2 linked regions of the Diceros bicornis minor genome follow. The protein of the gene in region 1 binds, or shares a complex with, the protein of each later gene. Links are inferred from orthologs where the notes say so. Each region holds a gene or a part of one and is shown on either strand. Other genes may lie near its edges.

Region 1 (7,253 bases):
TCACAACAACTCTATGAGGTATAGGTACTGTTATTACTCCCTTTATACCATAAAGAAAAATTAGTTCTGAAAAAAATATGACACACTCAAGGTCACACAGTTTATGAAGCAGATTCATTGCAAGGTCTATGTTTCTCCAAAGCCCATGCCTTCAATTAACAGCCTTTCAAGGCAGAAGTTATTTTCATACCCTCATGGCAAAGAAAGAAAATTATTCATTAGAAATCTCTTGGCTGAAAATTTTTAATGCTTAAAAACAGCCCCAATTAAGCTTCAGTGGGTTAAGTGTGGAACAAGCCCCAGATTCAGGATCCCTCCAGTCTCTGGAGGTTTGACATGTGATCCCAGGCCAGTCACTCACTTCTCTGGCTCTAGGTTTCCCAGGGAACTTGTAAAACAAGGCTACTTCCCCCTGTTCTCCCCCTACCTCAAAGCATTCCATGGGGTCAATTACCCATGCCGAGGTAATAAGGCCGATATCCAAGGATGAACCTACTGACCAAAGGTTACAATTTCCTCTCTCACCAACTTTCTTTTTAGTTATCAGAGCTTCCCACAAAAGTTATCAGCTAATCAGCAAATAATTACCCAGTACCTACTATGCATGCAGACACACAGTAGTCAATGAGGAGTATTCAGAGGTACCGGCACCGTCCTTGCCCTTGAGGACCTGTCTCCAAGTTTGGGGACTTGTAAGATATATCAACAAAAGCACAAAAAGATTTAGTGAGTAGGCCTATTATTCAGTACCCAACTATGAGATACAAACTAGAGGTACTGGAATTGGGACGAACATCAGCCAGGACAAGAAAAGCTAAGTTTCCCAAGACAAAGTGGAATTTTAAAACAGCCTTGATAGACAGATAACTTTTGGGAAAGAGGAAAGGAAAGGCATTCCAGGCAAAAGGAACTCTGAGAGCTAAGGATCTGCAGCTGGATGTAGTAGTATACAGGATGGATAATCACAAAAGAGACCAACAGATCTCTTGGCAGGGGTACAGGCACTGGGAATGGAGACTGCAGCCAGGTTTCAGAAGACTTGAATGCCTGGCATGGTAAGCTGGACTTGGAGAGGGAACAAAAGGGAATGAGCTGGGTGACCTGGTGAACGCTGGAAGCTGCTCAGTTTGGATTTCTTGCCTATTCTCTGCCTCTAGTAGGGGAAAAGCAAAAGAACAAGTGCAAGAAACAGGTGTCATAAAACCGAAGGCATCAGCCATCCCAGCTGAGAGGAACCAGCGTGTTGAAGAACAAGAGAGCTCCTTGGGGGCAAGGACTGATACATTTCTGAACACAGGTCTGGGAACACAGCAGATGCCCCAAAATGCTTGGGAAGCAGCACTTTGATCAGCTGCTGCTAGTCTCACATGGACCTTTCAGCCCCAATATGCCACGGGTCAAGCAAATACCTTGATTCACATCACCCCTGCCCTTCTGCTGGCTACCAGACCCCAAGAGGAGAAGGTGAGGACACTGCCCACCTCTGCCCCAAGCCTATGGAACAGGCTTTCAGACGTTCTGTTGCCCAGAGGCCACAAGGAGTCCAACACTAAGCTCCTGTTGCAAAGAACACACAGGGAGAAGTTGTATCGGCAGCATACTCAGTCTAAAAAATCCCAGACTCTTCTGGAGGGAATCACATCAAGAAACACAGTCCCTGGGTCCTCTTCAGACAAGAAGCCACCCAACAATCATGCCAGTTCTAATGGGGTCTAGATATGTTTAATGACATCACTCTGTCCCATGCGATGCAAGAGTTGGGACAATCCATACAAAGGAAAGTGTTTTGAGGTACTCTCCAGAGAGTATTGATTTAGTTGAATCTGTTATCATTTAACCAGCCAGTTACCATCTGCATCAAACTGGCAACTCAGAGCAGCAGCCCTCCCCTCAGTGGTCCACTGCCATGGCCTGACCCCTCCCTGCATTCTTCTCACCTCAAGGAAAATGGCAAGCCTGGTTCTCTACCAACTGCAGACCCACATACTGAAAAGGCTGGCACAACATGAGGAGATGTTTTAGCACACAGACAGAGGAATAACCGGCCCCTGAACCGCAGTGAGCACCTTCACAATGAAAGAATCAGATCTTCAGATAATAGTTTAAAATTTATATGTATGCACCTGCCAGGAAACAAACCCTCACTGGTTAGATCCAGGTCAACAGAAGTACTTAAATTCCCTTCTGTTGATTCCTATTTCCTAAGAAACCCCTGACGGAAGGAGCAAGAGTTCCTCTAAAACACACACCTTCCAGTATCATTCACAAACTTTTCAATTCAAATGAAAGTCAGTTCAGAGCAAGTGTCATCTGAATGAGTTTTTCTCCTTCTTACTTGAACTTGTGTGTGTATACAGGCACACATACATGCATACACACACACTTTTAGGAAAGACATCAGCATGGCACGCTTACTGAAAATCTGAGCACTTTAGTGGGAAAATGCAAGCACTCTATGCCAGGCCAACCCTGCTATAACATCAAACTCCCCCAACAAGAAAAACCACCCCAGAGACAGTAACCAGCAAAGGGGAAACACCTCCTTGAAACAGCCTAAGAAAGGCAATCCTGATTCAGCCTTTGCTGAAACTACTCCCAAATACCAGCCAGGAAAGCCCTTCTTTCAGCTGCCCAGCAAACCCAGATCTGCCCTTGCAGAAGCCAGATCTCTGGAGAAAGGGGCTTGCCTTCTCTGTCTGACTCTGCCGCCCGTTAGGATTCATCAGTGGCCAGACCTTCCAATCTTGCCTAACCAGCACAAGCACAAAAGCTGGTAGCTGCACCCCGAGCACACATTCACTTACACACACACACACACACACACACACACACACATACTTATACATACATACCTCTCACCCTCCATTGTGCGAGGCCCAGCTGGGGTGGCAGCTGCTGAAATGTGCACGCACCGGGGATCCTAGCTCTGCTCTCGGTTTTCCCAGCCAACTAGCGGGAGATCTGATCAGCAACAGTGATTCAGCATGGCTGCAGACGAAGCCTCCTCCCTCTCGGTCCTCCTTCCTCTGACTTACTCGCGGCAGCTTCTAACGCAGAAGCAGCAGCAGCAGCAGCAGAAAATGTCTTACCCAGAGCTCCCTGCAGCCCTTTCAGCTGCTAAAAGCAGCAACCCACTTGCTCCCCCTCCCCCACAGGCTCACTGCTCCTCCGTCTCCTAGGAACAGCGCAGCTCTAGCGACCCAAGTACGGTGCCACCTTTCCAGCTGCTTCCACATCTGTCCAGGCATTCCCAGCACAGGCGACCAGACCACCCCAGGGCCTCCCACCTCCTCTGCCCAGACTGTAAAAGCTCAGGGAGTTCCTCACCAGCCCAAGAAATACTGGCCCCCACCCCCGCCTCTGTCCCCATAGGCTATGAGCCTGTCAGCCTGGCCAGATTGCTGGAATGAGGAGGCCCCTCTGTGGCTTGCAGTGGAGTTTATCCACCTGGGGAAATTGACTTGCAGGTCACAGCTCATGTTCCAATCCCTCCTCCCAAAATCTACAGTAGCTCTGAGAGTCTGATAGATGGAGATAAGTCAGGGGGAAAGAGTCTGATAGAACTGAGAAGAATGCAGAGAGAAATTAGAAAAAGGGAACTGGTAGAAATAGGTGAAACTGAACAACCCTATTTCACTGCAACAGGCCAAAGACCACTGCAGTAAAGCCATTACAATGAATACTGCATATGTTTACTTCCCTAGGCCATATTGAAAGACCACAAATCTCATAGCACAACGCTAATATTTTCCTTTTAAAGCCTGTCATATTGAAATTTGTCTTAAGCTGTGGCTCCAACTAGCAAGTCTCCCAACGAACCCCCATCTTCAGCCAAAGATCTCTTGCACCCTGTAATCTCCAGCTGCTCAGCCTCAATTTAGACTAACTTCACTCTAAAACACAATCTGGGAGAAGGCAGAAGGCCAGTCTGTGTCTCCCAGCCACGGCCAGGAGGCTTAGAGGTAATTGGGGCAATCAGTCACTGGTGATTGTTTAGCCACAAAAACGGGCTCCGAAGCTTCCTTAATACCTCAGAAAAATCATACATGAGCATCTCTCTTCTGGGAACTCTCCATGTCACACCTGTGCTTTTCAGAATCCATACCACCACCAGCCAGCTGAGTGACTCTCAACAAGTCTTTTCCACACTCTGGACCTCAGTTCCTCATCCATAAGATAGGGTCAGACCATACGATCTCGAGAGTCCCTTCAGCTCTAAAAACACATGATTCTAAAAAATGTCTTAAATGTTCCATTTTTCTTCTCATTAAAGTAATCTGTAAGATTGTTTAAGAAGAAATTTTTACTGGACTCTAATGTGTTGTAGAGCTTCAGGGAGAATAACCTGATGTATGTGAAAGTATGAGAGACGCTCAGTAAATCTATTACTGTTATAATTTTGACCTGTTAAGTTTCTTCACTGAAAAAGCCCTGAAACCAAAGGAGGGGAGGGTGGGACATTGAGGTAATAGAAATTAAGAGTAACTTAAACATTATATAGCCTCCTGAACTCAAACTGGCTAAAGGTTGTTCTCAAAGATTATCTCTCCTGACACCTCAGTGTCCTCTTAGATGAGGCCATTGCCCAAACTGGCTCTTTCTCAAGTGAGAGGCCTGGGTGATTTTACTTATACCCTACAGCCCTGTATCACCACTTCTGCGTTTCACAGCAATACCCCTCGTATCTTTCTCCCTCTGTGTCCCTTCCTCCTCTCATCAGCCTTGTGGCTCTGCTCCAGGTATTTCCTCTTGAGGTGAATCACAGGGACCAGGAGAAGCTGAACATCACAAATAAGGAAACTAAATCCCCGAATCCATGCCAGAGTGCAGACATCCACCAGGAACACAACCGGGTGACTCATAAAGGGACATAAGAATAAGATGAGTCTCTCTCTCACAACTTATATGCTCATTCACAACTTCAGGAAAGGGGGGAAATGTCATATCTAACAAACCAGAGAGAAAGAAGAAAAGGTCAGAAGAGGAAATACTTAAGGGCTGAGCATATTCAGGTTTCAATATACAACTATTGAGAGCCAGTATAAAAACTTTACAGAATTTCTTTCGCAATCTACTTTTGCAATGCTAACCAATGTCAATACAACGTATGTCGTGAAGCCATAGTACTACCACCTGCACGTTTTATTTACCACTTAATCTATCCACGAGAGGTACACAGAACAGAAAACACTCAGAGAAGATCATTTAGCAAAACAAGCGGCAGAGCTGAGCGAAGAAGCAAAGTCTCCAGACTCCTGGCACAAAGTTCCCACCCTAATCTTCTCTAGTTTCAGAGCTACATTTTACATTTTCTACTTTATTATCCAAACGTCCTTTGGGCCACAGAATGGACCTGTTTGTACAAGGCCAGGCTCCACCTCACACCTATAGAATTAGGGCCCAAGGAGCAGGAATTTTAATGAACTTCATAGGTGACTCTAATGCACAGCTAAATGCAAAGATCACTTAGAACAATGAAAAGAGTTCAGATCATTTGAACCAGACAGACTAACGTCCAAATGTACTTATCAAAAACATGACCTTAGGCAAGTTACTTTACAGGGTCTCAATTTTCTCATCCGTAAAAAGGAGATAATAATGGAACCCACCTCCCAGAGTTGTTAAACTTCAATGTGAAAGTATACAAAGCACTTAGCAGAGAGCCTGGCCTGTAATAAGCACTCAACAACCATTAGCAGATATTTTCATCGCCTGTGCCAACGCTAGCCAGCCCTGGTGGTCTAGTGGTTAAGATTTGGTGCTCTCACCACCACGGCCCAGGTTCATTTCCCGGTCAGGGAATCACACCACCCATCTGTCATTTGTCATACTACAGCAGCTGCATGTTGCTGTGATGTTAAAGCTATGCCACTGGTATTTCAAATACCAGTAGGGTCACCCATGGTGGACAGGTTTCAGCGGATTAAGGCAGACTAGGAAGAAGGACCTGGCCACCCACTTCCAAAAAATTGGCCATGAAAACCCTATAAATAGCAGTAGAGCCTTGTCTGATATAGCACCAGAAGGTGAAAGGATGGTGCAAAAACACCAGGCAGGGTTCAGCTCTGCTGGAATCAACTCCACAGCACTAACTACAATAAATGCCAATGCTACCAAACTATAGCTCTGTGAGCCCTTGGCTCTGAGGTCAAGAAGAAAGTCAGTCAAGGTACCTTGTGCCAGGAAGCACAGCCCTGGGCCTCCCCTGGAACCATTTCCACATCCCCAATGGTCACTACTACCAACAGGCCACCAAGAACTAGGCAAGACCAGAGCTAAATTAAGGCCTACCCATACCTGTATCATCAAAACTTCCTCTCAGATTCTGGACCACTTGATGAGTAGACTCTCCCTGCAACTGCTTAGAGCACCCCCAACCCAGGAAGCCAAGCAGATACTGAAAAGGAACTTGATGGTGGAAGAAACTGTGCCCTGAACAGATTCAAGAGCATAATCACCCACGGCACTTGTGCTACACTTTAAAGTTTACAAAGTGTTTCACATCCATCATCTCCTTTGACTCAAGATAACAACCCCTGAATAGTAAAAACAGCTGCCAACCCTTGACTATTTGCTCTGGGCCAGACTCTGTACTCAAGAGTTTACATGTTCCTCTCTCATTTGATCCTCACAACAACTCTGCAAGAAGATACTATTATCCTTGTTTTAAATGTCAAGTGTATAGAAATGCAATAGATTTTTGTGTACTTACTTCATATCCTACAATTCTTCTGAATTCATTTATTGGTTCTAACAGTTTTTTGATGGAGTCGCTAATTAGTTTTCTATATATAATATCATGTCATCTGAAAATAGTGACAATTTTACTTCTTCTCTAATTCGGATGCCTTTTATTTCTTTTTCTTGCCTAACTGATCTGCCTAGGACTTCCAATATTACTGAATAAAAGCGGTAAGAGTGGACATTCTTGCCTTGTTCCTGATCTTAGAGGAAAGGCTTTCAGCTTTTCACCATTGAATATGATGTTAGCTGTGGGCTTGTCATACATGGCCTTTATTATGTTGAGGTATGTTCACTCTGTACCCACTTTGTTGAGAGTTTTCATCACAAATGGATGTTGAATTTTGTCAAATGCTTTTTCTGTAGCTACTGAGATGATCATATGATTTTTATCCTTCATTTTGTTAATGTGTGTAATACACTGACTGATCTGCAGGTGTTGAACCATCCTCGCATGCCTGGAATAAATCCCACTTGATCGGAGTGTATGATCCTTTTAATGTCTTGTTGAG
Region 2 (7,876 bases), on another chromosome or scaffold:
AAAAGGAAAAGGGGGAGCAGGAAAGGCCTTCAGGAATAGCTAATAACAGAGGTTAGTCTAAAAAGAATGAGTGCAAATTCAAAGGGAAGGGGAAAGAGAGAGCATTCCAGGTTCCGGGGCCCAGGGCATCAGGAAAGGCTTTCAGGAATAGCTAACAACAGAGGTTAGTCTAAAAAGAATGAGTGCAAATTCAAAGGGAGGGGGAGAGAGACAGCACTGCAGGTTGCCGGGCCCGGGGCATCAGAAGCAAAGGCAGAGAGATGAACACCACAAATCTGTTTGTTATTCCCCTTCTTAAACAGTCAAGGGCTCCTAACTCTGCAGAGGAGTCCTTCACTCCTGCCTCAAAGATTCCAGCCTCATCTCATTCCACTCCCCAAATATACCATGCTTATGCTTTCCAGCCTCAATACTTGAATGTTCTTCCACTCCAGGAACATCTAGTTCAAAACTGGGAGACTACCCTGCCTGCCAGAGTTGGGGCAACATTTCCAGGCTCTCATGGTGCTTTTATACTTCTGTGCTACTACTTAATACACTAAGTATTCATCTTAATCTAAGAGAATATGAACATAGTATTAACTTTTGTATTTAAACTCTGGGTAGCCAAAACAAGGATTACACTCTTTCCAACATCAAAGCAGAATAAAAGAAAAAGGGCATGGGAATGTTCCCAAATTTGCAACTTTTCCAAGATAAATGAATATATGTCAGTAAAGTCTGTAAAACGTAATCATAAAAGTTAAAAATCCATAAACTATTAATCTTGACCCAGAACAGATTGAGACCATCACAAGATATCCTTACCAGAAGATAAGTAATGTATTCAGAGAACAAAATGTCCAAGTAATCTGCTGTAATTTAAACTCACACTAAAAAGCAAGTGCCAATTTTCAAACAAGGTAAATTCAGAATGACTAAAAAAATCATGTATAATTATTTTAGCGCTCAAAATCAGCTTTAGCGCATTTTAGCTATCCTTTAATGCAAAAAATCTTTCCTTTGGACTGTTGATTTTACACAATTTTTAAACTCAATCCAGAGGATAGAAACTGTCTAGAAGACACTTGCTGTTCTGTGTCATATATCAAGACCTCTTCAAAAGTTCTCTTGGTATTACAACTTACTATAGATGAAAAACAGGTAACAATGCCTCCCAAAATTGGATGCAATCACTACTATACAGATTTTCAAACCTCCATGACTATTTATTCATATAATTGCTTCAATCAACGGTAACTCTCAAGAAGGAATAGCCATACCACTCGCATTTGTTTTGAGGGTTCAATTTCATTTTAACAAGATCTATCAACTCCCAAGATACGGAGACAAACACGTGCAGGATTTCCACTCACATCCCACTACATAAATGTTTCACCACTCAAACTAGTCAAAAAAACTCTCTTTCAGTACAGTGAAGCCACTTCACCACTTTTATCCTAACCCCATCATACCATCTCCTCCCCATCACCAACCTGTCGGTCACAGAACACACCACCCGTTCTCAAATAACAACTCTCAATCTCCTTGAACCTAACCCATTTACACAACTAGCCAGCAATATCCCTCACCCCGACCCAGTCCTATCGACCTTCACACACCAACCGAATCTCCAAATGAAATCCACTTTCCCCCACTCCATTACCCACTGAAACTCAACTTCCCACACCCGAAGCGATCTCCCCTTTCAGTAGCCTCAATCTCTCTTAAATAAGATCACTCAGTCCTTTGTCAACCGTCTCCCGCCCCCCTCATGTATTCTCCTCACCTTCCCCGTCCCCTAGTCTTCCATCAACTCCCAAAGTTGCCAGCCCCTAACAAAAACGAAAAAGAAAAGACAAAAAACGCACCTCAACCTCAAACCTGCCTTTCCCCACTTTCCTCTCTGAATTTTCCTCTCCGCCTGTTCGCTCACACCGACAGCAGCTCCGATAACCCTGAAGACCCGAGCCTGGCCTCGTCCCATACCTCTTGGTGAAGGCAATCACCCTGCCTCGGTCAAGCAGCCTCCACTAGGGCGCTTACTCCGAAAAGACTCTTGGCCGCCGCTGCCTCCCTCCATTCATCCTCGGCCCATTCATCTCTCAGCCCGATCCCAGACACGCCCCCCGGCCTCCTCCCTCTCTCCCAGCGCCCCGGCCGGCCCGGGACCCTCACCAGATTTGAGGCTCTCGCGGAGGGAGACTGACTCTTTTCGCGTCTCCCTCGCCCTCTTTCAAGCCTTGACTTGCCCCTCGACGAGGCACACCGTAGAACACACACATACACACACACCGCCTCCTCCTCTATCGCCTCCACCGATGCTTCTTACGCCCCTCCTCGATGGCTCGAGCTCAGCTCCGCGTTGTGTGCGCGTGAGCGCGCGAGCGTCTCCCCGCGAGCCCACCGGGCCAGCTACGGCCGGTAGGTGAAGAGCGGGCGGGGTTAAGGGAGTGGGGTACGAGCCCAAGCTCGCGCTCGCCCGGGAGCTGAGCAGGCGCACGCGTACTCCAGCCAGGGAATTCAGATGGAAAGAGGGGGGCAGAGGGGGACAGGGAAGGGAGGGGAGGGAAGGAGAGGGGGAGGGGCGGAGAAAGCCGACGGAGCAGCCCCAACTCTGAACGGCCCCTATCGCTGCGAGGTGCCGAGTGGCTAGCCAACTAAAGCGTGCTCACTCCTCCCCCGCCCTCTTGAACGCGGCGGGAGAGGGATGCGCGTCGAGGAGAAAGGCTTCTCTCCTTTCCAAAAAAGAAAATCTCAGGAAGCAAGGGGGCCCCTCCTGTGTGTTCAAAAGCGCTCTCTCTACGGCTCCTTTACCCTCTCCCCTCCAAAAAAGAAATTACAAAGTCCAAGCACACACTACTTCCTAGCCACCCACCGCCCACTCTCAGTTCTCTGCCAGCCTCTAAATGCGGGTAGCTCTCCTGAGATGTGGTACCCGCCGACACCTTTTCGCCCGCTACCCCGAACTCCCTTTTTCCAACTCCCGGCTTTTCTCGCGAGACCCATACCTGCCGGCTTCGGGATTAGAAGTCGAAGCACAGATTTACAAATACCGGCCTCCTGGCTACGTTGCGAGGGCAACGGCCACGGCATGTTCCCCCCCACCCCCGACCGCAGTGCGCGCGCGCAGGGGCTGGGCAACAACGAAAGCGAGGATGGGAAAGGGAAGCTGTGAAACGGATTTTTGACCGCATGTAAGCGCTAGGCCTGGGCACGTGCCCAGCGCCTCGCGGGCGGGTCCGGAGTACCCTGGGAATTGTAGTTTTTGTTCCCACCTTCAGTCCCACTCCCACCCTCAGTCTTAGTTAGGCCTCAGGCCGGGAGGGGGATTACCGACGCCATTTTACCGGGAACAATGGCCCTCGGCCCGAGCGGTGGCGGGTGGGGGAGGCAGTTATGTTTTAAGAGTTCAGTTAACCTCCCCTGGCCCCTCGGTGCCATAGCAACGCCTTCAGAAACCTGGCCACGCCCCCTCGCTGCTCCGCCAGGCTCCTAGACTGCGCGCATGCGGAAAGGCCACCTACCCCTGGGGCTGGCTCTCAGCATCTCCTACCGTCCGTCTCTCAGATTCTCCAATTGGTAGTGGGTAGTGACTGCTATCTCCTTCGAGCTTTCACTACATGTTAACCTCCGCGCAGCGGCTTTATTTAAGAACTGTTTCGTGCACGGTATCAGGCGTAGTACCGTAGAATTGTTTCTGTCGTTCTCACATGAACAATCCTGGCTCCACAGGGGAGGAAACTGAGGCTCAGCCAGGGAAAATGGACATGACTTGCTCAAGTTCACACAACTATGTATGGAGGAGTCAGAACTTGAACCCACGTGTGATCACTCCAGAGCCCATGCATTTTTCACTCCCCTAAGCTGCATCTGGTGTCACAGCCCCTGAATGAAAGCTCCTAAAGGGTGGGATTTCTTTCCGAATGCCCCTGAAGCCTTAGCAGGATGCCTTGAGGGTAGGCGGCTGTGTGGAAAATGCCCAACCTCAGGGCTCTATCACTGAGTTATACCAATCTCTCTTCTGTCCACCACTTGCTTTTTTCTTTTCCTTCTGTAGGCCTCGGAACCTCGGCCTTTTTCAGCTCTTTAAAAAACCATCAGTAAATTTAACTCTGAGGTTTCCTGAGTCCAAATGGAGTGGAATGGTGGGAGGCATCGTAGCCTTGTTTCTTGTCTCTGCACCTTTCCTCTTGAATGTTGCTTATTAATCCGAGTATTTCCAGAACATGTAAGGAAACCAGACCATGCCCTTAATAAATTTAAACCCCCATCTTCCAATTTTGACAATGGAGGGAGACTGAGGAAATGAAATTCGGGGCTATGAGGTCCAGCTATTTTACCTGTAGAGATCTTCCTTCCTGGGTAAATTTGGAGGAGCAAGGTGTAATGTCTCCAAATAGTGCAAACACTCTACCTTAAAGTTCTCTGCATTCCAAATTAGCTGCAGAATGGATGGGGTCTCCCAAACTCCTTCTTTCCTCACTGCCCTTGAAGATAATCCCTTTCCCCTGTTGAATTGTTGACTACTTTGAGGAAAAGAGGAAGCATAGCCAGATAACCACCAAAGGGCAGTTTCAAAGGTTACCAAGTTGTTCCAAGTTTTTGTAGGTCCTAACTCCCACTGAGATGGTAAGGAGAAACTTGTGCCCACCATTTTTATTTTTCAATATCACCCTACTCGCACCACCACCATACACATCCACCTTAAGGAAAATCAATAGGTACCTTCCTCCGTTGTAGCCTGCTCCTCCTACTTCATCTCTGAGCCTGATGATGTAATCAACACAGAACAATATGTGGAAATGTTAGCCCTTCAACCCGCTCAGATGTGAACCCTTTCAAGAAGTCCCTTTTTGACATTTGCTAAATAACTATAAAGTAGTGTAACTTTTACAAACTTCAGAAATTAGAAAATCAAACAGGTGTGTACCCCGTCCAAGTACAGGCCCTTCTCAATTTAGGCCTTTTATTGATGTCTGTGCTCTTCTGTTTGAAGCAACCTGTCCATAACTCAGCACAAATGCCACTATAGGCACAAAGGGGATTGGGCAATTATAGCTAGTCAATAATGGGTGGCAGAGAACATTCCTACTCATTTCCACTGACTTTCAAGTGGCACTTGTGATGTTTCTATACATCAAATAGAAAATTTGACTTTTTTGTGTGTGTGTGTGTGAGGAAGATCAGCCCTGAGCTAACATCCATGCCAATCCTCCTCTTTTTGCTGAGGAAGACTGGCTCTGAGCTAACATCTATTGCCAATCCTCCTCCTTTACTTCTCCAAAACCCCAGATAGTTGTATGTCATAGTTGCACATCCTTCTAGTTGCTGTATGTGGGATGCCGCCTCAGCATGGCCAGACAAGCAGTGCGTCGGTGCGCGCCCGGGATCCGAACCCGGGCCACCAGTAGCGGAGCACATGCACTTAACCACTAAGCCACGGGGCCGGCCCCTTGACTTATATTAGCCACTTATAATTTGGCTTTACATTATTCCAGGAAAACATCCTTCCAATAATCTAGTTCATCTTATCTGAAGGCTCTGGTACCAAGAAATTACAAAAGCCTTCATTGGAACCATTTTTAGACCCCAGCATCCCAGCAGATGGGGATGCAGATCTCCTCCCTACCACACAGGATGGCAACTCCTTCAGTCAACAAGGTGGAACCAAGATGAACCTCCAAGTTTACAGTTAGCTGACTACTACAGCCATGGGTAGAGTTGTGATTATTTCTGAAACTCAGTTTCTGACCCTGAGCCCTCCTTTTACCAGGTTATTGGGAAAACAATATAAGTCATTCTTGATGTTCTTTTTCCTTATCCCAGGTGATGCCACAGTTTGGGGATCTTATGTAGTACCCAGGCATGGGGGTGGAGAGTGGGGGCAGAATACAGTTATATGCTTCTAGGTCCTTAGATCCTGTCAGTTACTGCTGAGCCCTCTGCCCACATGGATCTTTTCAAGTGCTGTTGTCCTCTCCAACATCTCTGCCACAGTGGAGGCACAGAACTCATTGCCAAGGTTACCTGTTCGTCCATCTACCTAGACATTCCACACAGCCCTTCCTCTCTTGAATCTTCCTGCCAACCAAGCGTTGTTTCTGGGAGTATATGCTGCTTGAGCTTCCACAGAGCTCTCTCTGCCTCTTCCCCGCAGCGAGAGGGGAGTGAGGAAGAGAAGAATCTTTTTTTAGGCTTATGCAAATCTTTCTTCCTTCTAGTTTTCTGGCCCAGATACTTTGTCTCTGCTCCTGAACCCTAATCCCCCTTCCCTAGTACTTACACTTTTTGAACACAAAAACCAGAGAAACTGGCAGAGTATTTGTTTTCCTGCCTTGCCACCTCACTCCCCTTAGATACACCACAAAGCTGACTACTTTGTTGCGGAGTAGGGAAAGGGGAGCAGGCAGACAAAAGGGGAAAAATACAGGAAAGAAAAAAATCCATTTATATCTCAAAATAATATTGCAGCCACATTCTCCATCTATTAAATCTTAGCATCTCAGCAAAGAAAATTTACTTCCCATCCAGATGCCCCCTGCTCAAGACAGTAACTCCCAGGGCACTGGGGAAATTTCTCACCTGTTAATGTCCTCCCAGGAGGCTCTCTTTCCTCGCAGCACGAGGTGAGTGTCTCCTGAGTAAGAATAAGCATCACCTACCTCAGAAATGAACAGCTATCTTTGGTTTAATGACTGACTTGGAAACACTCCACCTTTCAGATTGGACAGTGCAATTTCTCGAGCCTTACTATAGAATCTGATCTCCTCTTCCTACAGACAGTCTTTCCTCATGTGACCTAGGCCATATATCAGGGGGCAAATTTAAGGTAAGTGCCTTTGCCTTGGCAACTGACTCTTGGAGAACCTAAAAAAAGAGTAAGCCCACATCACTTCTCTAAAACTTGGTAAGTGTCTGGAATCTCAACTCTTCTGCAAAGTCCCCATGTGGACAGGATACAGAACCTGAGTTGGAGTTGCTGGAACAGCCTTTTCCTTCTCCAGAAGAAGATCAGTTCTTTTAGATATGTATAGTCTAACATAGTGTATTCTTCTGGGAATCAGAGAATTCAGTCTCCTGGGCTAACAAGGCTGCATTTGCCTGTCTGCCTTTCCTTCCTCTCTCCTTTTCTCCCTCCCTCCTTCCCTTCAACTGACTCTTCTGTATCTGTTCCAACATTCCATAATAGTTTTTCAAAGCAATCTTGTTACAAATCCTTCATGTAGCAGGAATGAATCAGAGTCTACCACTAAGAAGTATAATAATAATAATAATAATAGCTAATATTATTTACTATGTAAATAATTTACTATGTAAATGAAATAACATTTACTATGTGCTTTATACAAACCCATTGAATCCTATGGGGTAAGTGCCATTATTAACACCATTTTTCAAATTAGTAAACCAAGGCACAAAGAGGTCAAATAACTTGCCCAGGGTAACACAGCAAGTAAATGGCAGAGCTATATTTGAACCCAGTTAGTTTAGTTCAGAGTTCAGGCTCATAATAATTTTGTTGTATCTTTCTTTATTGTCTGTGATTCCACTTAATTTTAGACTCCAAGCCCCTCATTCCATGGGGCTGGTAAAATAACCTCAATTCTTCTTGACATTCCTCCACCCCGGGCTCATGCCACAGTTCTGGGCTATTACACAGTGCTGAGGCCTGGGAGTGGAAGTTCCTTAAGTCCTTGGTCATCAGGCAACACAACTTAGCAGTCAGAGGTCCATTGCCTCTGCCCACAGTGTTTCTTTACAGTCTGGCAGGCCCATGTTGCATTGGGACCCTGCTGGTGGCTTGGGAATTTTTGTTAAGGCTGCCTAGTACAGCCCCTATTCTCTCAGGTTTTCCTGTCTACCCAGGGATGATGCCAGGAAGCAGGACACAGGT

Evidence for each region.
Region 2: the proteins of KLHL3 (region 1) and WNK3 are in contact, whole or in part, in a crystal structure (PDB 5NKP), measured with the Homo sapiens proteins. The link is inferred for Diceros bicornis minor from reciprocal best matches to the Homo sapiens genes KLHL3 and WNK3. Residues at the interface, in NP_059111.2 of Homo sapiens: Lys312, Arg339, Phe355, Gly357, Arg360, Thr386, Phe402, Gly404, Ser405, Gly407, Ser432, Ser433, Tyr449, Gly451, Arg454, Cys456, Ser481, His498, Arg528, Tyr577; in NP_065973.2 of Homo sapiens: Glu537, Cys538, Glu539, Glu540, Thr541, Glu542, Val543, Asp544, Gln545, His546.

The regions. Positions count from the first base shown.
Region 1 is NC_080740.1:56,373,253-56,380,505, forward strand, and holds the start of KLHL3 (kelch-like protein 3), read right to left. Parts: upstream 3,237-7,253; 5' UTR 2,867-3,236; coding exon 2,853-2,866; intron 1-2,852. UniProt on the Homo sapiens protein: Substrate-specific adapter of a BCR (BTB-CUL3-RBX1) E3 ubiquitin ligase complex that acts as a regulator of ion transport in the distal nephron.
Region 2 is NC_080781.1:45,687,027-45,694,902, reverse strand, and holds the start of WNK3 (serine/threonine-protein kinase WNK3), read right to left. Parts: upstream 3,092-7,876; 5' UTR 2,991-3,091; intron 2,862-2,990; exon of another isoform or gene 2,158-2,861; intron 2,032-2,157; exon of another isoform or gene 1,969-2,031; intron 1-1,968.